4 linked regions of the Lytechinus pictus genome follow. The protein of the gene in region 1 purifies or fractionates together with the protein of each later gene. This does not show direct contact. Links are inferred from orthologs where the notes say so. Each region holds a gene or a part of one and is shown on either strand. Other genes may lie near its edges. The genes, in order: catenin beta, ras GTPase-activating-like protein IQGAP1, enkurin-like and parafibromin-like.

Evidence for each region.
Region 2: the proteins of catenin beta (region 1) and ras GTPase-activating-like protein IQGAP1 purify together in Homo sapiens (affinity purification with western blotting; 3 studies listed by BioGRID and IntAct, with this or other methods). This does not show direct contact. The link is inferred for Lytechinus pictus from reciprocal best matches to the Homo sapiens genes CTNNB1 and IQGAP1.
Region 3: the proteins of catenin beta (region 1) and enkurin-like purify together in Homo sapiens (affinity purification with western blotting; 3 studies listed by BioGRID). This does not show direct contact. The link is inferred for Lytechinus pictus from reciprocal best matches to the Homo sapiens genes CTNNB1 and ENKUR.
Region 4: the proteins of catenin beta (region 1) and parafibromin-like purify together in Homo sapiens (affinity purification with western blotting; 3 studies listed by BioGRID and IntAct, with this or other methods). This does not show direct contact. The link is inferred for Lytechinus pictus from reciprocal best matches to the Homo sapiens genes CTNNB1 and CDC73.

Annotation. Positions count from the first base shown.
Region 1 is NC_087245.1:36,923,874-36,931,440, forward strand, and holds the start of catenin beta, read right to left. Parts: upstream 3,004-7,567; 5' UTR 2,807-3,003; intron 1-2,806. UniProt on the Homo sapiens protein: Key downstream component of the canonical Wnt signaling pathway.
Region 2 is NC_087249.1:12,742,726-12,750,434, reverse strand, and holds the start of ras GTPase-activating-like protein IQGAP1, read left to right. Parts: upstream 1-4,694; 5' UTR 4,695-4,755; coding exon 4,756-4,779; intron 4,780-7,709. UniProt on the Homo sapiens protein: Plays a crucial role in regulating the dynamics and assembly of the actin cytoskeleton.
Region 3 is NC_087257.1:8,445,368-8,452,736, reverse strand, and holds the start of enkurin-like, read left to right. Parts: upstream 1-4,355; 5' UTR 4,356-4,577; coding exon 4,578-4,657; intron 4,658-7,242; coding exon 7,243-7,369. UniProt on the Homo sapiens protein: Adapter that functions to localize a calcium-sensitive signal transduction machinery in sperm to a calcium-permeable ion channel.
Region 4 is NC_087259.1:23,518,366-23,525,551, forward strand, and holds the start of parafibromin-like, read left to right. Parts: upstream 1-4,165; 5' UTR 4,166-4,233; coding exon 4,234-4,364; intron 4,365-7,186.

The sequences.
Region 1 (7,567 bases):
ACATGTACATGTAGTTTAAATAAAAATTAAAGTAAGAATTTCAAAGAGAGTCAATCTCCTTCCCAGCTGTAAAAAGAAACTAGACATTCATAAGAAACTGATTAAAATCCACAGTAATGCGTGCTGGTGTACTGATGTACAACCCATTTTAGCATATTCCACACAGACAAAGATGGAAGTTTGATTGAAACAGACTACATGTACATGTCACTGTCTGGGCAAGTACTAGTGATCATCTGAGAAAATTTGACAGGAGGTGGTTTCAAACCGCCTCGATCACAAGAATCCCCGTTAAATTACGAGAACTTTTTTAGGCTGAAAAATACCCATTAATTATTCCTGCATTCACACCGCCCTGAAACATACCCTTCGGGATAAGTTCCTGAAGTTACGAGCATGCGCAGTATGGTCTGATAAGCAGCAAGGCGCGAAATTCAAAATCACTAGCCCAGGAGCAACCCATGCACGGCGCCGCACCCAACGACACGCTGGGCTAAAAGTTCCCGTAATTTGCTTTCAGACCGCCAAAATACCCACGACCTTGGAAAAATCCCCGCGAAAGTTCTCGTAATTTCGCCAAGTACCTACTATTTATCGGGTATTTTCTTTCGGGGATATTACGCGTAGTTTGCTTTCACACCGCCAAAATACCTGGTATTTTCTGATCGGGGTAAATTTCCCGATCAGAGAATACCTGGAACTGGCGAACTTCGAGGCGGTCTGAAACCACCCAGGGTCATCTTACTCACATACTAGATATTCCATGCTGACGTTTGGCTTGAACTTCTCACCCACAATGCTTACAGTACTTCGTTATCACTGTCTCTTATTTTGAAATGTAAGCCACAAATGTTTCTCATCTTTTTAGCATTGTGTTTTTCATGCGCATACATGTACATGTATACATGTAGGGGGGGGGGGCATCAATTTCACTTCAACATTAAAGAAACAAAAAAGGAATATAATAGCCTAAAGGCTAAATACCTCTCATTTTGTGTATTTCATTTACATGTAGGCTTAATCATATTTTAAACATTTTTTTTCATGCAAATCTAAACCAGGAAAATATTGAAATTTGCATCTGTTGTTCTTATTAGGGCCAATGCTATAGGCCTACATGTACTTGTTGCCACTAACCACTCATGATGAATTTCATTTGATACTGTAGGCCTACAAGCAACATGTATGTATGTGAATACATGTAAGCCTCATGTACATCACATTTTTGTTGAAGACAATTAGACCTCCATCTACATGTTAATAGATAGGGACAGAGATTTACCGCGATCGCGGAAAACGAACCAAATTCACGGAAAAGACCTTTTCAAACAAAAAGTGGCTTTTCAAATGGAAAATCATGGAAAACATATTTTTTCTCAAAATGCACAGAACAGTGCAAATAAATTACTCCAAAATCTCAACACAATATGAATATTAACTGGCCACAAAACCCCATAAAATTGAAAACGATCTCACTTCGCTACAATCACCACAATCCACACATCGTGACTGTTTTCGACTCCAACGTATACCCCTCGCCCCAGCCCCCGCCGGACGGCCTGGGCCGTATCGAAAACATTCACATAAATGCGCACATTGTTTGATTATAACCAACATATACATGTAGAAGGCAGCAATACGGCTGTATGTTGCTGCTCTCTAAGTTCGGTAACAGAACAATATCTCTTGAAATCCAAAATGGCTTTTAGGCGAAAATCATTGACTGCTCAAAACGATGTCAAAAAAAATCCCCAAATTATATATTAATAAAATTTAATTCAACTGCAAAATAATGCTAATAATGTGAAAGGTAATGTTAAATGTGTTTGTCAAAATATTTTGTGCACCTGTATAGGTATGATAAGATTCTAATGCGTTAGTACAGTGGCAGATACAAATTTTGACCAGCACGAGTGTTGTGACATCGCTACTCAATGCGTATTGACGTTCTATGTAAATGGAATTATCACTTTTTCATGTATACAAAGTCTATGGGGGAACAGCATTTCCGTTTTCAAACATGCTGAAAGAAACGGAATGTAAGAATTTCTGAAACGAACAAGGCCATTTTTGAAACGGAAAATCACTGACCCTACATGTACATGTAGGCCTAGATAAAAACAAATGACATAAAATTGAATCACACTGCCATTTAAAAATTCAATGCATAACTGCATCATAGGCCTACATTTTTTTATGCATCTCTATTAGTAAGAGCAAACAGTCAATCCTGCATGTACTCTGATATGTATATTGCATGATCATGAATCCATTAAACAAATATATCGGGCTTTGAGAAAGTATAGTGGAATTATTTATCCGAGGTTGGTCTGGCAATTACTATTTTTTCCCGAGGGGCGAAGCCCCGAGGGAAATATAGTAGTTTTGCCAGTCCAACCGAGGATTAATATTCCCACTATGCTTTCGAATGAAACGCCTGATATATTTGCTTTATATCCTACTTTTAATAATTTATAACCAAAATCTATGCGCTGAGCATGCAAAGTCCTGTTGAATTACCTACTTTTTTCCGAGCCACCGCGCCCAGCGGAACGCAGATTAGTGTCTGCGCTGACGCATCGCGCTGGACTTGCGCGCCCGGGAGAGAGAGAGCGCGCAAGCCGGTGCGCCGAGATATCCAGTTTTGTGAAATAATGACGTCAGAATATTGGTATATCCAAAAATATATCGAGGTCTGACGTCACGCAACATCATAGTTGAAATATATTCGGTCACATGATGCTACTTGAACCAATCACTATACAGGATTTACTCTATGTAGGATATAAATTCATTTGTAACCCACATCAATCTCAGCACTCAGCATCATTATGCTCATGCGAAATGCACTTGGAAGTCCTACAGAAACAAACAAAGTGCATCCTCTCCAATTGCCAGTGCAATAGTGCATGTGTGTGAAGGAGGCAAGGGTGTTGAGATAAACAGCAGGTCCATGTACATACTGTACACCCTCCTATCTCCCATGACACACACTCTGTATTTGGCATTCCACTGGAATGAATACCAATGCTATACAAACACACAAAGCCACTGCTACTCCCACACACAGAGAAGCCACAATAAACATAGTCTTCCATTGAATAAATATTCAGACATAAAGTTGTTCATTATTTAAGGGCTTCGAGTTTCTACATGTGGACCTACATCTTATAGGTCTCACACTTTATACAGTCACATCCACTGTGCACACTACAGGCCGACCTAAATGTAGTTTATTGTATTTTCCCGGTATTCTATATATTCACAAATAAAAATGCAACAAATAACAACAGATGACTGAATAATAGACTACAATTATAAAAACCCATTTACTCTGCTTGCTCACCTATTGGGTGCACAGCAAGTCATTTACCCATTTCCATGAAGGAGAAAATCTTCACTCTAGTCTTTGCCTTGTTGTACAAGATTACCGGAAGTGCATTCCAATTACATATGACTTATTGTATGCGACAAGAGCAATATGATTCTATCCAGTGTCATATAGTAATTGATACAGAGGACAAACTTTCCTAATCCTTTAATTCAAAATGTGCCCAATCTGACGATGAAACAAAATAACAAGGTGGTTCACTAGTATCACCCGATTTCGCGATCAATGAAATATGCAATATGATCTTTTGACCCCTAGATGACATTTGAGCTTATCATGCTCATTAGAATGCATGTGGTATTACCCCCCCCCCTATTACCCAATTATTATTTGTACCAAGTGTAAACAAAATTGATGCAGAAATAAAGAAAGTTGAACAAAATCTTGAAAATTAAAGGATACACATACATGTACCATTTGACCTTTTGACCACTAGATGACCTTTGACCCTCATGATCCCCATCATTCTAATAAGCTCACATGTGGTGTTACCCAAGGTTCATGTGTTATACATATAAGTATGAACATGATTGATGCATAAATAAAGAAATGAGAGCAAGTTGAACAAACACTTGAAAATACAAGGATAGACATATCATAACGTTTAACCTTTTGACCACTAGATGACCTTTGATTTTGACCCCCATTTTTCTCATGGGCTCACATGTGGTATTACCCAAGGTTCATACATGCATGTACCAAGTATGAACATGATTGATGCACAAATAAAGAAATGACAGCAAGTTGAACAAAAACTGCTTGTTTAAGTTTTTCCAAGGAAAGATCAAGGGCACTTCAATATCGTTATCATACAAGATCAAGTACTGGTATTTTTTTTTCTCAAGTTTTACCATATATTCATTACCAAAGGCCTAACCTAATGTTAGCCTAACCCCTACAGCAAAGAATGAATTTAAATTTACGGCTAGTACTAAGCCTAAATTGTTTACCTTGACAGCCAATCACGGCTCGCCATTCAGCGTACATTGTCTATTTCGGTTCTATTACATATTGTTTTGCTCTAGCGTTTTAGTCATTTCATGCGATTTTACTCTGATGCGTGCATGTCGAAAAGCTTCAGTATGTCCGTTTTGAAGGCTATATTACGATTTTGCGGTACCAAACACTTATTTAAAGAATGAATTGAAACAAGAAACTGAAGAGGGTATGGATTAACAGTTGGACACAAGATGTGGGTGCTTCCAACGAGACACATGTACATGTCCGTCTATTCTATATCAAGGTCTCAAAAAGCCTTTACGAGTTGGCCATAATTTTAGACATCTCTGAGACTGACATTATAACCAAACGTATCCATGTACCTCATTCAACAGGAAAAATTAAGAAATATGGATGTTTCTTTCTACTTTTTAACAGATTTAAAGCTAAATGAAAGAAGTTGCAGAAAACGCTCATTTCATGAGTAAGTGTAAAACCAGGCCATATCATACATGTACATGTACCATATCAATCATCCTACACATGTAGATACATGTACTGGGGCCCCGTTTCATAAAGACTTGCAACTGTTGTAACTTTGCCATTATGGCAACTACCATGGAAACTTTGATTCTGATTGGCTGCTGAGCCATGTTACCATGGTAGTTGCCATTATGGCAAAGTTACAACAGTTGCAAGTCCTTTATGAAATGGCCCCAGATCGGGTGGGTGTTTCATAAAGCTGTTCCTGAGTTAAGAGCGACTTTAAAAACGACTGGTGATCTTTTTTTGTTGTAAATGGTAAATTTAATGAATTGGCGATGGTTTAGTGCGTAAGAAAGGTTCACCAGTAGTTCTTAAAGTCCCTCTCAACTTACGAACAGCTTTATGAAACGGCCTCCTGGTACATTTATATAAGCTGAACTTTGTGAAATCACGAAATTGAAGCTGAAAATAATCACACTGAAGTTCGCCAACACAGATGAGTACACATGGAAAGACCCGACAATTTGGTGAAATGTCATTCTTATTTTGCAGCAATTACACAATTTCTTAAGAATCCTTTGGCACCTAATTTTTTATTCAGTACAAAAAGACACTTGGGTGGTCATTTTATAGGATTCTGTACCAACTCATTTTGAAATGGTTACAACTGGCATCTTTAAATCCATACTCAGCTACATGTACATGTAGAGCTAGGGAAGATCTATGAAGCAATTGGTGCACAGGACAACACAGAAAATACACCAGGGCGATGGGTGGATTCGCTCTCTGGATAGCAAAAAAAAAATGCCCATAAATTTCCCCAAATTGAATGTTTGGGTGATAGTCTTTTCTAAAGTCACCCCAAGATCTGCTCAAAGCAATCTAAGAAAGTTAAGAAATCAATTTTATAAAATACAGCACACTGCTTTTTACAGCATAGTTGCTTGTCTAAGTATATGTATGTAGCCCTTGAAATGAAAGAAATAGCCTTGAAAAATTCAGCAATCATCTCCAATGTGGGGGAAAATGGCCCCTAAAAATAAAAATTATTTCCAACCCTGGGACACAAGCTTGTCGAAGAGCAATTAAAAACATTATCAACAGCTCCAAAACCAATTAACATGAAGCCAATCTTTACATTATATGTGCAGACCCACTACAGAGCAAAAATCTAAAGTGTTTTTGTTCCTACGCAAGTGTAAAAACTAATCAATTTTTAAAGGTACAACTAATAATTGATAATTTATTGCACGGGCCGTGCGCAATTCGAGTTCGCCATTTTGGATTTGACGGTGAATTAATATGTGTGGTGTACTGCGAACCGGCTTCATATCACTGATTTTGAGACGTTTACAAGAAAGGGCAAGGAATGAGTCTGTGTCCGATAGTAAGTTTAGACACTGTAGAGTATGCTTAATGTCTCTTTTTTACATGACGTGTTGCCTTTTTCTATTTATCGCCCAATGGTTCGGGTAGCCTAGCTAGGTCAGGTGTAGCGGAGGCCGGAGGGTTAGTGAATAGTGGAGTCTAAAGTTACACAGTACACATATCAGTGAGGTAGGCCTACTAGGTTTTGGCGTGGTTGAAGCCCGAGAGGGGGGGAGGGGGCACTCACAAATAATGGTGGTACGGGGATGTGCCCCTTTGATGACCCCCTTTTTCAGACCCAATTTTCAATTCTCTAGACTCCAAATGACAAAAGTTCAAGGGGAATCCAACCCAAATAAAAACTTGTTTTTATAAAAAAAAGAAAAATCAGACAAGTTGATAGGTGAAAGTTTGAACATTGGACAAACAACAAGAAAGTTATAAAAATTTAAAAAGTTGTAAAATTGGCTGCATATGAGATGTCACAGTGATGTAAGGCAAGGACTACTCTTCCATGTACTCCAATACTTGGCTAAAATGTCATTTTCCCCAAAAGTTTTATTTCAAATTATATTTTTCTTTTATGAGGACATGAAACAATATGCAACCTGGGTTTATTACTGCCCCAGGGGAATGGGTACTTAGGAGAAAACCACAAATCCCTGATAATTAAGTACATGGCCTATGGGAAAGTTGTCCTTGCCCCTTGTCATCATTTACTTACCCAGTTGCCAATTTGAAATCTACATAGTATTAGTGATCTCAGTTTTAAAGCAGCTATAATTTTCTTATTGCTTGTCGGATTTCTTTCAAACGTTCACCATTTTGTTTGATTTATTTTTCTCCTTCCCAACACAACATTTTATGGAAAAGGCTGGATTCCCCTTTATTCTTTAAGTTCAGAAGCAGCCCAGCCCCGGCACATCAAGGCACAAACTGGACCCTCAAAAAAAGGAAAAGTTACACCTCTGTCGCGTTCGTTCTCAGTATCGATCGGCCATTTTGTTTTCAATTTTGACAGGAGAACGAACGGAACGAGACGGAACTTTTCCTTTTTTTAAGCGCTATGGTGCAACGTACCTACACTGCAGTGCACAGTGCCTGCCGCGATCCCGTTCCATGACCATAGACTGTTTTTCACACTTTGCAGTATCTCAAGTTCCCAAGACCCCGTATTCTACCCTTTTAGTCAATTCCTAACATTAGGCTTAGTTAGACCCCCATTTCAGAGTTTCGTGAGGTACGGTACACCCCATCAAAAAATTATTTGAGTCCCCCCCCCCCCAGTTGATGAAGTTAAATAAATAATGACATTAATGTGCATTTGATATGATCAGTTAATACAATCCACCATTTTGATCACCCCCTCTCACATTGATTCAC
Region 2 (7,709 bases), on another chromosome or scaffold:
TGTATGTAATGGAATCAAACTTGACCATGAGAAGTTTCTGATGAACTCTTAACAATTAAATTAAATACCATCTTCTCCTTATTGCATTCAAGTTGGGGCAAAAGATATTTCTCTGTTTTCTAATATTTACTTTTTGAGACATAAAGTGTACAGTATGCTCTGCCATGGTTTGTGACCAACTTTTATGCCTAAAGGCCTGACCTGTATGTATACCAACTTTCTTCCAAGGAGGAATTTTTTTTTTTCATTTCGGGGGGGGGGGGGGGGGGGGGGGGCTACCCTTCACAACCTACTGAATAAATTTACAGCATTGGAAAGCTATGACATTGCATTGAATGGAAATTTTCCAGGGCTCTTTTGAGCATTCGGGGGGGGGGGGGGGACTGCCCTGAGCCCCCGCATATTTTTATTCCCTGGTGCCAATTCCTTGGGTGTACAATAAATTCTGATGGTGTGAATTGAGGGCATATACCGAACCACACCAGACATATCATCAGCCATGGCTAGTACTTGTGGTCATTGTTAATTGTTTTTATCTCTCGCTCTAATTTGAAAGGGCAGTGGATAGACCAGAGGGATTAGCTTTTACAAGTGCAGTGAACTTGAGGAAGATTCATTTCATAGATCTATGTGGAGAATCAAAGAGAATGTTTGTTTGAAACATGGATAAGCTTACATGAGATTAACAAACATAGGCAGATAACCTTTATTTCATTCAGCAGTGACAAGTGTTAATTTTGTTCAAAACTTAATTTTATACTATATTTGTAGGTCTTTATGAAAAGAAACATGCGCCCTTTAATGGAGTAATTTTTCATGGAGACCCAATTTTGTTTCTATATGAGGCTGCCCTTACCATGAAATAATGTGATGCCTTCATGATGGACAGACCTGCTTTATAAATGCCTTCTCTTCTGACAAGTTCATGTACATTACCAAAATAAAGGCATTCAGATGAGGTTTTGAATTTTGATCTACCCTTTGGTGATCAATTGCTAGGCTCCACACCAACTTTTTTTTCTTGGTGACCCAATCAATTTCATATTTTTGATGACCCGCAAAGCAAATTTGGTGGCCCTAAACAATAGAAAACAGTACAATTTAGCAAAACTTTGGTAGCCAAAAACTTTGGGCCACCAATTGTGGGCTTTTACAGAAGTTTGGTGGCCCGTCTCTCATTTTTGGTTGCGCCGGGCCACTGCTACATGTAATGTCGAGCCCTGTGACTATTATTTGGTGCAATGATAATAATGATAATAATAATATGTCCATTTATATTGCACATTTATTGTATGCATATACTCAGCTGTGCTTTGATACTTGATATCATATTATTACCCCGGCCTTAGCTGAGAAGCCATTTCGACACTAAAGTGTCAAGGAATAAATCCTACCGAGAACTCATTCACCTTGCCTGGGTCGAGTGCAGCACAATGTGGGTAAATTTCTTGCTGAAGGAAAACACGCCATGGCTGGAATACGAACCCACATGCCTCTGATTGAAAGACGAGAGTCATAACCACTAGACGACGACACCCCCACTTAAATAATTTCTTTCGTTCAGTTTTTCTTGGCAAGGCATAAATTAAATTTTTATACAATCATGGGGTGTAAACCACCCCCCTCCCCGCTACTCGTGCAAGTTTCCCTGGTGATTGTGTGAAAGGAATCTACATGTATTTCATAAATTTGGAGAATAGAGAAGAACACACCAGCGCATAATACAGGAACAAACCAGAAATGGAAAGTCTTATCTGATTTGCAAGTGATTCCTGAGAAAGTTGAACACACCTGACTTCTCAAGTCAGTTACCATGCAACAAACTCACTTCCTGTTGATTCTTTGTCTTCCGCCGAAATGGATGAAAATAGATGTTTCCATGGCAACGGACTACAGAGAAGGTAGTTTGCGTCTTGGTGATTGCACTCCGAGGAGCTGCTTCAGACACTTTCCTTGTTGCCCCATGTGTCCTTTAGGGAGATATGATCTTTGATCACAGGCAAACCGAAGCATCACAACTCTATAACTAACAAATAAATCATGCCTGTTTCAAAATGGTTTTTTAATTCATGCTCTTTTTTTTTAAAGCTCAGCATTTACATGTAGACTAAAAATATATTTGTCACGTTCATTTAGCGCTATTCTCATCCTATATTAAATACAAGCTGGGTGACAAACCGCTGTATGAAATTTTTGGGAAAAGCAATGCCTCGTTTTAATGACCAGATGATCTGTCAAGTGATGTCATGTTCAAATCCCTGGTTTTCATTGTTGGAAATAATGATGGTGATGAAGATGACAATAGTAATAATTAAAATGATGATGATGATAATTCATGATAATGTGAAAATGATAATAATGATAATGATAATAGTAGTAATAATAATATTAATAATAATGATGATAATAATAATGATAATAACAATAATAATAATAATTAATAATAATATTGATAATAATAATAACAACAATAATAATAATAATTAATAATAATGGTAGCAACAACAACAACAATAATGATAATAATGATGAGGAAGGGAGCCTGAGCCAAAAAAAGGGAGAATTATGTAACCTCATTAAAAAGCTTGCCAATTTGGGACTTGTTGGTTTTTTTCCCCAATATTAAAATATATAAAAAAGCAGGTTGTTTTGTTTGTCAATTAAGTTTATTGATATTGTTGGAGGATTATCTTCTACTGCTCGGTCACTCGTTACCCCTCGTTCCCTGTACTTCCCAAAGAGATCTCTAAATATAGTATTTAGTCCCCCAAGGCTGTAAGATTCCATTTTATCAGAAACAATCAGGATCAATTTAGGACTGTTGGATGTCGATAACAAACAAAAGTGGAAGCTGATGCGGCTTTCCTTTGCTCCCAAAGGTTAGAATACTTTTCGGTCCATGGGCCGACGCTTTTTAAATGTTGTTCAGTTGTATAAATAGATGAGATGAAGTTGCATGCTTATTTCTCCTTTGTTATATTTTCCATGACAGTTAAAAGAAATACTCAACATAAAAAATAAAAAGGATGGGAACAGTTGAGAAAAATATATATACCTTGAAACGCATGTAAAGAACTAATTCCACCAGAAGAAAAAGAATAGGTCAAGGATCCTGTGACATATAAATATTAAGCGATTGATCTTGTGGCAGATTTTTGTGATTGATCGTGCACAATAATCAATGCAATAAAACATGGAAATCAGTCCCTGATCAACCGGTATTATTATGGGACCTGGATGGGTGTTTCATGAAGCTGTTGGCAAGTTACGAGAGACTTTTCGTATGACTGGCGAACCTTTCTTACGCTCTAAATATCACCAATGAACATTTAATGGTGAATATCATTTACCCGAAAGCAAGGATCCCCAGTTGTTCTTAAAGTCACTCTCAAGTTACGACCAGCTCTATGAAAGAGCCCCCAGGGCCCCGTCTTACAAAGAGTTACGATTGATCCGATCAATCACAACTATGGACAGCCAGCAAAGTCAACCTATAAAATGCATGTTTGTTTTAAAAAATGGCTAGATATGAATGTGTATCCATAAATTCATTGATTTCTTGATGATTTGGTGTGTTCTCTTTTGTTTACAAAAGACATTGTGCAAATTTCTTGTAGAAAAATTATGGCCCTCATGGATTTCCATAGAGTTACGATTGATTGGATCAATCATAACTGTTTGTGTTTGGTCTATTTCTAGTTTGTCTACAACCAGGTGGGTCTTTCATGAAGCTGTTCGTATGCTAACGAGTGACTTTACGTACAACTGGTGACCCTTTCTTGTGGTAAATGAAATACAGCAGATTTTCATAGGCGTTAATGTAGTTCCTAAGAAAGGATCATCAGTCATTCTCAAAGTCGTTCGTAAACTTATGAACAGTTTAAGAAACCCACACCTGAGGCCCGTAACACAAAACTTGGCAATGATCGTAGAACATTTTTCTACGATTGATTGCGTTGACTACAATGTACAATCAATCGTGAAAATCAAGCGTACGATTATTCACTAATCTTTGTGTTACGGGACCCAGGTCTATACAGCACTCTTTTATTAGGTATTAGTATTATGTGTTCAGAACACAAGTAAGAGATAATAATTTCTAGGATTTTATCTGATAGAAGCATATACAATAATTGATATATATATTTTTTCATTACTACCAAGAAGGCCATATCGTCCTGTCGGTGCAAGAACGCCCTTAGCAAAACATCTCCACACACCCCATTGGTGCAGGATCGCCCTTACGCAATGCCCTAATGCTTGCTACTCAGGGCGTTTTTGCGCGCATGCGATGTACAAAAGTATGGTGTTAATGGTGTTCTTGCACCGACATGACAGTATTTGAATGGAATTCAAGTGTTTTTTTCTGCTGCGGATGTCTATAGAGTGTTTTTTTTTCTTTCACAATCTAAAAAAAAAAGAATATTATTATGCCTTGAAAGTCAATGATCAGGGGAGCGTTTCATGAAAGGACTTGTTAGATTTTTTATCCGACAAGTACTGTTTTATCCGACAGTAACTATGGTAACAGTGCCTCTCAGCCAATCATTATCAAGGAAAGTTGTCAGACCTGACAACTTTTCGGAAGAAAATGTTTATGAAACGCTCCCCGGATAATGTTCCGCTTGTTCCTTTTTCACATGAATTTTCCTATATGTTTACACCTTTTTGTAAGGTTTTTAAATATTTTTATTTTTTTAGGCCAAAGGACTTCATTTTAGACACACGGATAACACAGTGCAGTGGATCAGAGCGATGGAGGTTGTTGGATTACCATCGGTAAATATTTTTAATTCATTTATTATAAAGAGTGAGTAGATTACAAATACTTTCATTTTTCAAGATATATTATTTGATAAAATATTGATGATGATGATGAAAATGATGATGATGATGATGATGATGAAGACGACGATGGTGATGATGATGATGATGAAAATGATGATGATGATGATGATGATGATGAAGATGATGATGATGATGATGATAGTGGTGATGATGGTGATAATGATGGTGATGATGGTGGTTATGATGATGATGATGGTGATGATGAATTGATGATGATGATGGTGATGGTGATTCTGATGCTGATGATGGGGATGGTGATGATGATGGTGATGATGATGATGATGATGATGATGGTGATGATGGTGATAATGGCCACTTGTATATCGCATGTATTCATAATTGGAAGTACATGACACTCAGTTATTACTATTTTGATATTCCCAATTCAATTCAAATAATAAAAAATGAAATACAAGATTAACATTTGAAATAAAACATTAACAAATAAGCAGCTAAGAAGCAGAACAATATAATTCAATCTTGTGCTTGAAAAGGCAAGACATGGCTTTTATTCATGATACCAAGATTATACGCATCCATTGTTGTTAATGATATGTATATGTTTATATCTGTAAAGTGCAGTGTCTTTATCTTTCTGTCGTTACATGGAGAATAACAAATTTTTGCTCTCAAGTGTGCCATTGTTATACGATTCACTTTACTCTGAATGGCATTTCCTTGGTTAAAGAAGTATGCTATTATTATATCCTGCTACATAATAGTCTTCAAGTGTTAATGATCTGAGGTCTAATCGTTTGGGAAAAATAATCAGTTATTAGAAATTCGATGAAGATAATGGTTAAGTTGTTCTTAAATTAGAAATTAATCTAATTCCCAGTGCTGGTTTTTAATTTGAGAAGTTTCAAAACGAAAACAAATACTTGATCACGAATGCACTTTATAATTTATCTGTTCATAGTAAGGAGAGTGCTTTTAAAAAGGGGAACTACATTCAGATTAGGAAAAAATAAATTCAGTTGATGGATGTGTGAGGTACATTGTAATTAGTTTTGGAGAAAGAGGTTACAACTAAACTTTGCATTACTATTGAAAAGTAGACATGGAAGTATTGAAATTTGATATTTTTAAAATAATGTATAAATAAGAAATTTTTGAACTGCGTATCCGGGGGTTGCAAGTTTTGTCTAAAAAACTAGGTAAGACTTGAAAGAAAAAAGTCATGAATCAATTAATTGCAAGCTTTTCACTATGGATTGATCATAAAAATTTTGGGGAATTTAGCCCCCCCCCCCCTCGGGGGTTCAGCTTGTTTGAGCATGGACCTACAATAGGTCCATGGTTTGAGTGAGTAGAATAACTTGCTCCTCCCTACTTTTTTCATTGACTCTGATCAACGCTGTAAATTTGAACTTCTCCTTTGAAGTCTGGGTTTTTGGCAGTGAGCCATTGCCTATTTAATTGCATTTCAGTCTCAACATTCAAACTGGGTTGTAAAAAATTAGTCCGTGAATAAATCACACCCTTACCTGTAATGCTGGGTGTACCTCAGACAAACTAATGCCATATCTGTTGGGGTACATTTATTCTAATCATGATATTATGGCAGATCATACATAGTTGATAATGACCTTCGTAGCTCTTTTGATAGTGTTGAACATTTAAACTGGAACATTAAGAAATGAGGGGGGCCCTTTTGTGCAGTGGGCTTGTTTATGAGGATTTTTTTATAGTCCTTTTCTGGCCATTTTGGTAAGTAAAGTAATCTCAGGCCCCAAGTGTTTTTTTTTTAATAAAGTTGGAAGATGTACATTTCGCATGGTCCATATTCCTGGATTGAACCCTCTACTTTAGGCTACGGTCACACCCCCTCAAATTAGCCTGTTCGGTGAGTTTTTAGCCAATTTCGCCTGGGCACAGAGCGGCGGCCGTCTGGGCACCACTGGTTTTTTTTGGCATCGCTCAGTCGTCGCTAAAGATTATTAAGCACGGAGTTAAAATTCTGGAGGCACCTGTTCTTTTATCACTCACTGCCTTGAATACGCTCGGTGCGCGGGTGGTCGCTGTCTGGGTGCCAACGTAATCGAGCGGTCAACATCGAATGATTTAGGCATTGAACTTGTTGGATCAAAGACTGTTGAAGGTCACTGGCTGGTCTCCGGCCACTGGCCGCTCAGAGATCGGTCGATGATCTCGCGGCGAATTCAAGATCGGCTGGGCGATTACTTAAAAATAGGCCGGTGGCCGGTGGGAGACTACCCGGGAATCAGTGGGTCATCAGCTGATCACTGCTTGGACACCAAACAGAAAAGTTCCCCTGATTTGACCCACATTTGGCCTTGAGTATATAATAGGTATTAACCTACAGCTCGCTAGACTTCTACAAATATCTTGTCTAGATTCCAGCGGTGCCTGAGCAGGCTACTCATTGTTGTGACTGAAGCCTTGGCATAATTATTTTCCATCAATAAATGAGGGAAAATATATAATTTGTAAATTCATAGTAATGTTTACATTTGTACTAGTTTAGTGAGGAGCTTACAAGTACAATATTTTACCAGTATTGATTTGATGAAGCAAATTTTCTACTAATATTTAGTATTTATTTTAATTCGGGTTTGATCAAAAGTTTATTGACTCATACACTCTAAATTCCAAGGATTTAAAAATAAATCTGGATCAGCTGTGAATAGTGATCGGCCAAATATTAGATCTATTTTTAAATCTTGTGGATTTGAATATAGCTAATAGATTTTAATTTCAATGTTTTGAGATTTAAAAGTAAATCCTTAACAGCAAAAGGAATAGATGAGGGCGACGGGCGATTTTGTCCTCATAACTGCTGTAATCGCCCCTAAAATTCCCTTAAAAATGCTTTGGGGCGACCATTCTTTCTAGAGTCA
Region 3 (7,369 bases), on another chromosome or scaffold:
ACAGAATTAAGATAATAACATGTTAAAATTATACTATTTACATATTAAAAATGAAGAAAAAAAATCAGAATTTACTATTACCAATAAATAAGATATATAGACAATAATAAGATATATACAAGAATATAACGAAGAAGAAGAAGGAGAAGGAAGAGGAGGAACAGAAGAAGAGAGGGGACGAGGAGTAGAAGGAGACGGAAGAAACTGATAACGAAGGGAAATAAATGAGGAGAAGAACAACAAGAAGAGGAGAATAGGAAGAGATAAAAGAAATAGAAAGAATAGAAGAAAGGACATATCGAAGCTTCAATCAAACTATGTAAAATACATAATAATACCTAGTAGAGAAGAGAAAAGAACTACGTCAGTATTCAGGCTAAATCAACCGTACAACATATTATTTGCATCTTCTTTTTGACTCTCAAGTGAAAGATATTCTTTCAATTTCCTCTTAAAATGCAAAAAGTTTCCTATTTCCTTTATATCATTGGGAAGGGAATTCCAATGTTTTATAAGCATTGTAATAAAATGAGTTACCAAACGGGCATTCGCCTTTTTTACGATTGATTCTACTAAAGATGAAAATGAAAGGGAGCTAGTCAACTCAATGCCTAAATACTTTACAGATTCTTTTCTATGAATTATCTTATTGTTGTATGATACTTCAAATTCAAATGAAGTTTTATGATTACTTTTAAAACAAAACAGAATGCTTTCGGTTTTGCCTAAGTGTAACGATAATCTATTATCAGTCATCCAATCGACACATGTAGACAGCTGTTCGCTAAGTTTTTCCTCAACAAATTTTGGATTGGCATTTGAACAAAGTAGTACGCTATCATCTGCATACAATAATAATTTACAGTCAGCTTTTAAACAAATAGACATGTCATTGATATAAGTTGAAAATAGGATTGGGCCTAAAATACTTCCCTGTGGAACTCCACACGTTATAGGCATAATTTTGGAACAAATATCGCGAATAGCCACTACTTGATGTCGATTCGACAAGTAGGATTTGAACCATGCTACAGTAGCCTGGTTAAAACCCATTATTTGTATTTTTTTCAATAAGATGCCGTGATTAACTGTATCAAATGCTTTTTGAAGATCTAGGAGTACAATCCCAACGAATTGTCCCTTAGACATATTTGTTCTCAGATAATCAGTCAAGTGAATAAGGCATGTCTCAGTCGAAAAGTCATGTCGAAAACCTGACTGATATTCGTAAATCATATCATTTTCTTTAAAATATTTTTCGATCTGAACACATACCGCCTTTTCTAGAATTTTGGATACTATGCTTAAAACACTGATAGGTCTATAGTTTTCAACATCAGTTATATCTTTCTTCTTATGAATAGGAGTTACTTTTGCAATTTCCATATCCTCTGGGAAAGTGTTAGTAAAGATAGATAGATTTATTAAGAAATTTGATGGTTTGTACAAACTCTTTGCTCCTTCTTTTAGAAATTGAGCAGGTATCAAATCTAACCCAGTGCTTTTTGATACATGTAATTTACGCAACTCATTAAAATGAATTGATCACTAACAGGTAATAATTCAAATTTATCTTGGCTTATACCTTTTTTTTCATAAAATTTACGAATGTTTTCACTGTCTGCACTGAAAATGTCTTTGCAAGATGGACGTTTATCTACCAACGTAGCTGCGACATTTGTAAAATAGGAATTGAATTCATTGGAAATAGTTATCTTATCATGACATAATTCTCCGTCAATTGAAACGACTAATTCTTGGTCCTTTCTATTTTTCTTTTTTAATCCCAAACTTTTTAGATTCTGCCAAAGTCTTTTAGAATCATTTGTATTTTCTTCTATTTTATTTTGTAGGTATTCTAATTTGGCCTTTTTCACCTCTCTTTGAACCATATTTATTAATTTCTTGTATCTTTTGGAAAGCGTGTCATAATCCTGATCGCTTAGATTTTTCTTCATTTTTTTATACGCCACATTTCTTTCTTGAATAAGAGAAATAATATCTTTAGTCATCCAGTTTTCTGATCTTTGTTTAATTCTAATCCGTTTTTGAGGCGCTATCATATTCAACGTTGAAATAAAAGTATTTTGAAAAACTGACCAAGCCTTATTTACGTCAGTGCATTGGGTTAAATCTGACCAATCAACGGCAGACAGTTTAAGATTGAAAGATTCTTCGCTATATTTTTTCAACGATCTGATATCAGTGGTTCTGTGAACACCTATAGCCAGCCTAATTTTATTTCGTGTACAGAAAGTAAAAGAATGGTCACTTATACCAAGATCAATAACACCAATTTGACTTATTTTTTGTTCGTTATTACAAATCACATGGTCCAATAAAGAAGAACATGTGTGAGTGACACGGGTTGCATCTTTGATGAGTTGGCTAAATCCATGAAGACTCAATAAGTCAGTATATTTTTTAGCCAGAGGAGATTTCTGAAAAAGACAAACATTCATATCGCCTAAAAGTATAATTGAAAGATCGATGTCCGTGTTGAAATATGTTTTGTATACTGACTTCAAAACTTGATATTTTATTCTCTATATCAGGCTTTTGAGAAAGATATGTATTGTTTGAACAGGCAATGCGAGCGCGAAGCGCGAGCGAAAATTTTATATAGTGACATGAAAGACTTTTATTTTTATTTTACAAGTCTTCTCCTCATCTTATTTTATTCACTCGTCCTCCTCCTCTTATTTTTCTTTTCTTTATCATCTCTTTACCCTTCTTTTCCCCTCTTTTTTTCTTTCTTTCCCCCTTCTTTTTTTGCTCCGCCAATAGGGGGATGGGGCCGGGCCTCCTGGATCCGCCTATGAGTTTAAGAAATGTTTTCTTTATGAGGAACAATTTTGCGAATTTTATCTGAGATTTAGATCTAAAAAGAGGGACATTCTGCTCCTTTTGTTTTCATATCTTCCTAAAAGTAAAAAAAATCAATGATGCGAGCCCGGATATTAATATCCCGATCTGAAAAATGTCATTTTAAGCATGCTTTTAAGTAAAGATTATGCTGTGTATCTCAATGAACAATTCAACTGACCTGAAAGGGGGACGTTTCAGAACTGTATTGGAATTCATGAAAGAGATCTTACTGATCAAAATAATATGAGCGCGTATTTATAGCTGCGAGCTGAAGGTAAGATAATCAGCACTTTTTGTAATCATGAAGAGGAGGCATATCTCGCTAAATCAAATTAATTAAAACTCGAAATAGGAGCTGAATAATTTTTAAAAAATTGAGGCCCATGGCGTATATATAGACACCGGATCTTGGTGCACCCCCTTCCCTCCACCAAAATGTTCCACGGATCATGGGGAAACACTAAATAGGAAGGAAAAAGGAAAAATGGAAAGGGTCATAATATTATTATGATATTTGTCAAAATGAATAAAAAATAACATTTTCATTTTCAGGTCAACTTTTTCCCTTGCTCGCTCATTTTTCTTTTTAAACATGTCAAATAGAAATTTTGCCTCATAAGCTTTGTTCTGCCCGGTCAAATATTTTGACTCATTGGGGCCTGCAACCATCGGAAGGATGTAGAAGATAAAAAAAGTTTAGGTTTAACTTGATTTTTATTTGATTTGATTTGATTTATTTATTTATACCAACAATATTCTATTTAAAGGTTATAATGAAACAAATAGCATAAAATTTACACATAATGTACGTAATAAAGAAGGACAAAGCAGAAATGAACGTGAAATGAAAAAAATAGGGGAAAATTGTGAAAATACTATAGGGGGAAGGGAAATGAATAAAGGCAATGATTGTGGGGACAGGGACTCAAAATCTGTTTTATTGCATTTTCACCCCCCCCCCCAAAAAAAAAAAAATAAATAAATAAAAAATAAAAAAAAATATGCTGGAATAAAATAATATGTAAACACCCTTTCAGATGCTCTAATTTAGTATTATTATTATCTTTAACAGAAGCAAACAGATGGGGGCTTGGGGTGCCTGCCCCTCTCAATCTCTCTCCCCCCCCCCAAAAAAAAAAAAGAATTACGACCAAGAAAAAAAAAGAGAAAAGCAAAGAAAAGCAAAGATAAAAAGGTGAAATATTAGGCCTACGTTTTATTTTCTAGATGATGTCCAAATTTAGGTAAAGAAACAATGAAGAAAAATACGAGTACCGCGGTTCATGATAAGTCTGCAAGCACAGCAGGTCTGGAGTAAAGACTTAAACGCCAAATGCTCTGTCTGTGTAGAGCCAGCCACAGGACAAAGTGAATCTAGTCTTACTACTACAGACCCTACATTATGCACCAATTGCGAAAACCAAGGGTCTGTGCTGCAGACTAGCTCATGATGTCGTCTTCCCAATGAGGGCGTTCGCTGTTTAGCCACCGTCGCTCATAGCAACGTGACGTAGGGCTTGACAACGTTATGATCGCTGTATGTGTTTTGTGTGTAGCATAGGTCGTACGTGTATTGCGAATTGCCAGTGCAAAACACGGAATTAACATAAACAGCGAATGCGAAGTCAACAGCAATCCTGCGAGGACAGTGTCGAAAACAGCACATAAAACTCATTTTTGTCACACTTTGCCTATATCTCTGCAGCAAGATGAATACCATGTATGGCCCAGAAGAGAGTATCTATGATCTCATCCCTGGAGAGGAGGTCAAGGAAGTAAAACAAACCCAGTAAGTCGTTCAAACTCAGTAAAAAAATGAGATCTTGACTTGACAGTCGACTCTTGAGAAGATGAGTGTTGTGTATCTTGTATGGGTGGAGTGTGGCATGTCTGATGAAAATGGATACCCCGGTAGTCTTGAGGACTCCATGCCATGATGATGTCTTTTTAAAAAACTTTGACATATACTTCCAATGATGAAGAAGTATATGTCAAAGTTTTTTAAAAAGACATCATCATGGAGTCCTCAAGACTAGAAAATGGAAGTCTTATTTAACTTAAAAAACATTTTTTCTTCAATGTTAAATTCATTGTGATTGTAAGTGCAAGTTGAGGGAGAACGAGAGGGTGAATCTTTGTTTGGTTTCATTAAAAAAAAATCATCCTAACCCTGTCTCGCATGTCACCGCTACGCTAACTTAGTCTTCGTGATGGGGGACCTAACTTTACTTTAGGCCTACGTAAATTTAAGTTACACACTTTGTAAAAAGTTTGGAAAAGAGTTCGGCGCTAGTGTAGTTTCGCACCTCCCCGTTTAATGGTTTTTAAACATGTACAATCTCACCCTAAATAATTCACAACCTAAAATACTTGCATCTGAGCCTCCAAAGTCCAGTAGAAGTTGAATATTTGCCGTTTTGACACTTTTTTTTTTACAAAGTTTTACACCTATTTCGGAATCGCTTGAAGCTCAGCGCTGCACATAAGCAGTCGGTACGCGTACAGTACGTACCACCTAGTGAAGTGCTTCTTCTTCTTCTTCTTATGTTGGTTTGAGTGGCGATTAGTCATATTTGACTATTGTCGCCATTGACTCTATTAATAAAAAATCTCACTTCTCACATAATGATATTATGTGCAAGAAGAGCGAGTTTTTCTATGGTATCTTCAAAAGGATTTTTTTCCCCTCTTTCAGCTTGCACCAAGTATTACGGTAGTGCCAGTGGTTGTGCAGAGTGGTTGATGTTTGTTGTGTGAAGGTGTGTGTGGGGTGTGCGTGTGTGTGCTTGTTTGAATGAAATAAGAAATGTGAAAAATGTGAATACACGTAGATTTAGCGATGAAATAGAAATAATAATGTAGAGCCTTGTTTTGAACTCTTGGTCAGAGAACTTTCCTTCAGTTTACAATTATATGCTATGTTGATTGTATGCTATGTTGATTTCATGCTAGTAGATTACATTTTTTAATTTTTCACACGCCGTACCATCTCCATCCATACCACCTGGGACATGCAATGTACATTTCATCCTCAAAAAAACCACTCTGCACAACCACTACCGTAATACTTGGTGCAAGCTGAAAGAGGGGAAAAATCTTTTTGAAGATACCATAGAAAAACTCGCTCTTCTTGCACGTCTTTCGGATGGTGACGTTAAAGGTCGGTCCCAGACGTAAATAATCACATCTGATTGATACACGTCTGACAAAACTCAAATACACACACACACTTCACTAGGTGGTACCACTGAACTAGAAATACGTATTTCTAGTTCAGTGGGTGGTACGTACTGTACGCGTACCGACTGCTTATGTGCAGCGCTGAGCTTCAAGCGATTCCGAAATAGGTGTAAAACTTTGTAAAAAAAAGTGTCAAAACGGCAAATATTCAACTTCTACTGGACTTTGGAGGCTCAGATGCAAGTATTTTAGGTTGTGAATTATTTAGGGTGAGATTGTACATGTTTGAAAACCATTAAACGGGGAGGTGCGAAACTACACTAGCGCCGTTCCTCTTGCAACAGCAACCCAAAATAACATAAGATTGTTGAGACTTCTGGTTCATTCACTTCCTATTTCTCTATCGTTTTTTTGTTTTTGTTTCTTACCTTACTTAAGCTCACGTTGCGATTCATTGCACTGGCGCAGTCAAGATTCTTCCTGGCTATGCGCTGATAGTGATACCAAAAGGGGTTTTCTAGCGATCATAAGCCGATACTTCATTATTTTAAATTTTTGGGGTGCCTGTCGCAAAGGAACTCTTCCCCAAATGATCTTTCACTAATTTGTGACAAATATTCTACAGATCCTTAACCAAGAAGAAAATACCACAAAACTCGTTAAATCCCACCGTGTTTTTCGAACACCTCTTGATTTTGCTGCCTGAAGTAGAAGGGGTCCTACTCTTAAAGAGTAAAGCTACTTGATTTATCATGCACAAAAATAGTATTTCCTGTGCCCCAATTTCTAAAATATTTTCATATTATAGGAAAATATGAAATTAAAATGAATATGATTTTAAATTCCAAAGAATTTCTCTGCATTTACTTAGTGAGCGGTATAGTCTATAGGAATCATTTGTCACTCAGTTCCACAACACATTTTGCCATTCTTTTGCAAGAAGTTATTAAATATTTGCTCATTTTTTTTAATTTTTGCACACTTAGGGGTCTATAAGAATATTATTGAGCTTTATCAACTAAAAAATGTTTGTAATTTTAAAGAAGTTCATGTTCAATTGTAAACTTGTTTTTTTTAGGTGCACAAAGTGCTATTGATTGATTGATGTAGCATTTTACACAAAAAGTTTCAAAGCGCTGTTATATATAAAAAAAAGAAAAATAACATGAGAATTAATTTTTTTTTGTATTACAGGTACACGTCTAAATTTCGAGGAAATGTGAAGGTCGAAACAAAGTCAAACAAGGCATCCAACAAGACGATGGGACCGGCCAAAGTAGAGCTCAAGAAACCAGAAGAATTCCACAAGAAGCACTCCAAG
Region 4 (7,186 bases), on another chromosome or scaffold:
GACCCAGAGCATCTTCATTACGACGATGGTTGCATAGGTGGCGAAAAGACGGAATATTTCATTTTCGAATGAATACAAAGGCGATGTCATTATTTCAGAAATCAGAATTAATTAAACGATCAAGGAGTAAAAGACGGCACAGTTGGTATACATGTAAAAATTAAAATTTGATTTTTGTCTCACCTGCATAGCAGAGTGAGACTATAGGCGCCGCTTTTCCGACGGCGACGGCGGCGGCGGCGACGGCGGCGGCGGCGTCAACACCAAATCTTAACCTGAGGTTAAGTTTTTGAAATGACAGCATAACTTAGAAAGTATATGGACCTAGTTCATGAAACTTGGCCATAAGGTTAATCAAGTATTACTGAACATCCTGCCTGAGTTTCATGTCACATGACCAAGGTCAAAGGTCATTTAGGGTCAATGAACTTAGACCATGTTGGGGGAATCAACACCAAATCTTAACCTAAGGTTAAGTTTTTGAAATGACAGCATAACTTAGAAAGTATATGGACCTAGTTCATGAAACTTATACATAAGGTTAATCAAGTATCACTGAACATCCTGCATGAGTTTCACATCACATGACCAAGGTCAAAGGTCATTTAGGGTCAATGAACTTTGGCCGAATTGGGGGTATCTGTTGAATTACCATCATAACTTTGAAAGTTTATGGATCTGATTCATGAAACTTGGACATAATAGTAATCAAGTATTACTAAACATCCTGTGCAAGTTTCAGGTCACATGATCAAGGTCAAAGGTCATTTAGGGTCAATGAACTTTGGCCAAATTGGGGTATTTGTTGAATTACAGCCATAAATTTGAAAGTGTGTTGGTCTAGTTCATAAAACTTGGACATAATAGTAATCAAGTATCACTGAACATCCTGTGCGAGTTTCAGGTCACATGATCAAGGTCAAAGGTCATGTAAGGTCAAAGAACTTTGGCCACGTTGGGGGTATTTGTTGAATTGCCATCATATCTCTATAAGTGTATTGGTCTAGTTCATAAAACGTGGAAATAAGAGTAACCAAGTATCACTGAACATCTTGTGCGAGTTATAGTAGTTTTCAAAATCAGCACTGCTGCTATATTGAATCGCGTGATGCAGGTGAGACGGCCAGAGGCATTCCACTTGTTGTATTATTAGAGAGGTAAAAAATTGGTCGCTGGCTTCGCTCACTCGCTGCTGTTTAGAAAGCCTCCATACGCCTAGTCTTGCCCCTCAAACTTTTGGCTCCTTTGAATTTCAATGATATAAAATAAGTCCAGAACGGCTGATTTCAGATTTTGTTGGATTGCATGATTTCAGATTTTGTTGGATTGCACCTGCACATGTTCAGTGGGGTACCGGTCTCCAGATACTCTCTGGCATGTCGGAAGTGGGTGGGTTAATTTGTGCCCGTTTCTATTTCTATTACTGCTCTTGTATTGTACATATGTTTATTATCATCATGTTTGATTCTTGTTACCTTTGTATTTTTTTCTTATGCCTATTATTGCCATTGTTGTAAGTTGTTATATTTCTTCTATGCCCCCAGGAGGGGCCGTCAAAGAAATAAAATCATTGTCATTGTCATTGTCATTGTCATTGTCATTGTCATTGGCTGTGAAGCAATGACCATTTTGGCAATTGCGACATAAATTCTGTATTAATGTAATACATCTGATTGTAATATGGACCACCTGTCGGTGATTTCTGATTCGCGTTATAGACGAAGTTCTTTGTCTGTATTTAACCGTCCAAATACCCAAAGGGGGTAGATTTTTTGTAATATATAATAAATAGTAGTTGTTTATTCTAGTTATTTACATAAATTTGTACTCGAGTACAAAATGAGTTCGATTTGTTAATATAAATTTGTACTCAAATAAAGAACCAATTCCACTAATTTACATTTTAAGTCTGTTTTTTTTTGTTAACCGTAATGAAAAAGAACTCGGTTTTTTTCGTGAATGTTGATAATATGATATTGTCATAAGTGTACAATTTATTTCCTTGGTAATTCCCTCCTCTTTATAATCGATTATGATGGGGAAATTATTTCCACGTCTCTAGTTTATATACTGATACAATCCAAATTCGGGTTACGTGATAAAATTGTTATCCGCAGACTTTATATATTTTCTAAATTCAAAGTAATAAAGTTGAGACTGATTGCAATTGCTATCAGGAAGGCATCATCATCATCTTCATCACCATTACGATGAGGATGATGATGATGAGCAATATTTTTTTTTACCTCTTTAATGAAGAGAAGACCTAATTGTCTGATTTCTTTGCATAACATCAGTATTCAGAAATTAATACATTTCACCCCTTTCCTTCTTTTCTTTTCCTTGTCTCCATATTTTCTTGGCCGTGAAAATTTGGGGTCAATGGCCCCAAGACCCCCCCCCCCCATCTGTATACGCCGTATCAATTGCAAAATAAAAGTTAGTAGTAGGTTTACTGCTAGATCTCTCACTTTCCCACACTTTTATCATATTACCGGATTTTGCATATAGAAACATTATTTTTAATAATTTCTTCCTCATAATCGATTGTGAAGAGGTTGCGATTGAAACAGGGACGTCACGTCCCTGATTTAAACAATGTGAAAATGTACACTTATTTCATTTCATTTCGTTTATTTCCATTTTCAACAATTAAAGTTTGTTTTGTATATTTTTACATATAAATAACAAAAACATATTTCAAGTATCCCTGTACAAAAATTATATTCAAGATTATTGGAAATGGAGGTGGCTGCTAAAAGGCGGAGCTTGTAGAGTGCAGCCTCCTAATAAATATTCTTGTAGTTACATAGCATATAAAATATTCTTACATTAATATTCGTTATAAATAATAATGAACATTCGATAAAACTACAATCAACCTTTTTTAACTATAAAAAAAAATGGATGTAAATATTTCGAATTTATTTTATATTTGACTACAAATTTAATAAATATTTTATTAGACAATAATAAGAAGCTACTTTCAATAATATGTATACGGACGGGCAATAGACCGACGGACGCCGAAAGTCTCTTTTGGAGGACCAATGTCAGATGTTCTAAACTGAGCAAATGAAAAATTACAAGTTCATCATATTCGTTTGAAATTTCATTGTTGTTATTATCAAATGGCAATTGCAAGCTAAGTCATTATATTCACATTCTATGCGTTTTGCTGAGTGCCGCTTTAGTCATAGATTTTTAATCATTTTTTTTTCAATTGATCTTTTGCAACTTGATGAGCTCCGTCCGTTAAAAGACAAGATTTCCCCCATTGTATTACATTTTTCTTCTTATCTCCTCCTGACCTCGGCATATATGGTGTGAATTATATTTTCGAGTGACAAATTTTCCGATGACATAGTTTTATAAGTGTATCCCGACACATCCACCTGCTTTCTTGGTTGTTACACCTTGTTCGATCAATGTACATATTGCATTTACATTCATTGTTTTATTACTGTTGATTTGTATATATCATATCTGAAATTGGATTGTAAATCGGAAGACAATAAATGTTTGATGGAATTTTTAGGCACGTTGCGTGATGCCTCGTTCTAAAGCTACAGTTTGTTTCCAAAATAATCGATTATGACATTGGATTCCAAAGGTAGGCCTACCCCTTGAATTGAATGAAATTGAATTATTATGTTGTGCTCAGAAGGGGGCAAGTCTGATAATTTGTATCCCGGAATTTGGGTACAAAATTCATGGAGAGATGTCCCCATATCATCACTCATTATCATTATCATCACCACCACCACTGCATACACACTGGCATCATTAATTCTCTCCAGGCCCAGCATCACCATCATCATCACCACCACCACCATCATGCCACCATCTCCAATTCTTCATTATCATCGTCATTAGGTAGGGCCTGTTGGCACCCGCCTGCATCTAGTCTGCAGGTACAGACCCTGATTGAAACTTTGATCAGCAAATGTGTCTCCACGCAAAGACTAGCACCACATACAAAACTTGCTGTTTCAATCCTGAGAGGCCAGTACACAAGGCATGTGTAGGCTGCATATTCAGACCCTTAACTCGAGTGAATGGTTTGCACAGCATGGAGCTGCTTTAAATAATATCGGTCGAATTCAAAGTTTGCGAGTTTGTGCATGGCTGGGCGACACACTTGGAGTTTTGGGCGATTTGTTTTACGTGCCTGAATTTATTGTGACGAGGTACGTTTGAGGAAAGAAAGGTTGGGGAGGCTGAGACGGCGACATGGCTGACGTTTTAAGTTTACTTCGTGTTTATCACTCTCAGAATAAGGTTATAACGGAAAGAAACGATGATGTTATTTTCGGAGAATTTTCATGGCCCAAAGACACAAAAACTAACTACGTTACCTATGGGTAAGTTAACGGCTTTTCCTCCTTTCTGCTCTGCAAATTGGAACAACACGGTTGGTAACACAGCGCGCTGCAGTGTGAAACAACTGCCCTTAATTGCCTTGCCCTTGCATATGATTATGAATGCATATGCCACATGATTTTTATTTTTTAAATTAAAAGTAATGCATGTTTGTACGGCATTATCGTGGTTTATGTCACCAGTCCATTCACTGCCGTTTATTTCGTCAGCGGTGGTGACATCTTTCCACTCCTAATCCTATTGACTTTGTACACAACGAGCGCACATGCACATAGCCAGGCGGCTTCTAGAGTAGGTACGCTACTCTAGCGCGAGAGGGCGCGATTTTCGCGTCATCATTTTCGCGTACGAAAATGGCGACAAGCTGCTTCGGGAGCGGGTGCGAGCAATAACTGCAAGCCCTATTTGAGTCTCCTGTCTAGGATGGTAAACGTATATCAATGGGAATGAAAACGATGACATCATCTTCCCAATGCATTCAGCTATACTGCACGGTTAGCTCTTGCGACGGAGGATCGAGATCGGAACAAAAATTGCACTAAAACAGTCTGTAAGTACAGTTTATGCATCAAATCATCATTATATGTTATTTTCATGGAATTATCAGACATATTACGCTAAAAATACATATGCTACTCGAAAATTGAAGTCGTAAGCTTTCATTTCTTACCTCATTCATGGCAGCATTTCTTGCCACCATTTGCCACGGCCGAACGTTAAACGCCCTTGCTATTTGTTTCGTGGGATTTTTTTTTAAGTTTGGCGACGCGTTTCGCGGGCTAATTCATGGCGGCTGCTAGGGTTTTTGGTTGCCCGCGGTGTGTAGTCCTGCGCATTGGAATTTGTGTAGCAGACCGTCTATCGTGATATGTCTGGTATTTCTTTGATTAAAAAAAACTTTTTCTTTTTTATAAATTAGGAATTGAAAACCAGACACAAATGTAGAAATCAGAAATATATCCCACACTGACACACATTCATTTTGATTGAATAAAATATTGAAAAAAAATGGCAAATGACGCAACAACTTTCTGAATCTTCTCGAAGTACCTAACGTTAATTTTAGCCTTTACTTTAGGTAATTTACTTTAAGTTTAGTCTTGATTTATTATTTGATGATTATGTTCTGTTGAAAATTCATGTAACATGATTTCTTTTGGCCTAATCAAACTTTACATTTTTATTATTTAAAAAATGAATGGCCTAGATCTAATTTAATTCATTATCATTTTAATTTTCTTTTGTTTTCATATTTTATTTTCATTCAGATTAATTTCTTATCTCCATTTGAGCATGGCAATACTTACTGATCTGAAGTCGAGGGGCCCAACAATGAACAGACTTGGGCTGAGCCGTCGAATATCTGTGGTTCCAAGAAAGCGTGATGGAAATGCCGCCTTAAAAAAACCAACCCCACCTCTGCCTCTGGGCTTTGTTCTTGGCGATCCTGCATTCCATTCAGACTGCAACTTTAAGCAGGAATTGTTCTACCAACTACTTAATTATTCACAAATGTGAATTGCAGCTTTTAAATTGACAAGAAAGAAACAATTGATTTATCTCACCCCCCCCCCCCCAACTGTCTTCTAACATTTTCTATCATCCCAAACTAACACTTTTTTTTTCTTGTATGTCTGTTTAAATATTTTTATTTAGACTTTATGTAATTTTTTCATGATTTATTTAAGAAGTATGAGCAAAAAAAACAAAACAATTTGGCACATGCAGTAGAGAAGAGAAGGAACATAGTGTTAAAAAAGGATACACATACAGATCTGAATATTAAAATAAATTTAAAAAAGAAATGACAAATCCACACTGACACATGAAAGTATTCATTTTATTTTTTTCCTTATTGGCATTGGTTACATTAATTAACTCCACATAAAAATATAAATTGAATATGTTAACAGTATTAATGAAGTTGCTCAATAAAATTTAAAATTAGGTATTCTCATTGGAGGTAATGGTTGATACAGATGGGTGGGTGGACCTGCAGCCACTAGCGTACCTATGGGGGGGGGGGCAGACTGCCCCCCCCCCCCGACGAGTCACAACCAATGTAAGGGACATATCCCTGCCCCCCCCTGATGAGCCACCGGTGGCCCCCTCCTTTGAAGTTTAAGACCTTTTTTTTGCTTGTAATTTTTTTTCTGGTACGAAATCCTTTATTTGTGGTTGAAGACTTTTTTGCTTGTCAAATTTTTGGGCGGACGATTTTGCCCCCCCCCCCCTGTGGAAAATCCTAGGTACGCTACTGCCTGCAGCTCTATTGTTTTATTAGATTTTCATTTTTTTATTGCTGGGGGGGGGGGGGTATTATGTAGAGATGAAGCCAAATGATCTTATGAGGCAAGATTCAATGTACAGCTCAATATGATGCATGTAAAGTGATTTATTAAACTTTTGAAATATCAATTAAGAACTGGAATGATGAATGATATGAATATAAGAAATATATTAAATGCATGTACAGTGATTTATTAAACTTTTGAAATATCAATTAAGAACTGGAATGATGAATGTAATGAATATAAGAAATCTATTATATGCTAGTTCATCACAACTTTAGCTGGATCTTGCTGCAGAAAGTGCATCGTGTAGTTCTACAAATATCTCGGGTGAGAGGCAGTTTGGCAGAGCGGATGCAATGCTTCATAGGGCCTCTAACATTTCTGTGGTAAGGTCGAATCCAAACTGATGTTTTCATCGAATGATACAGCCTCCTGGCTACAAAAATTTCCTGTAGATGAAAGAGAAAACAAAATAATGAATGCAATGAAATTGGGGAAAAATGTGAGGC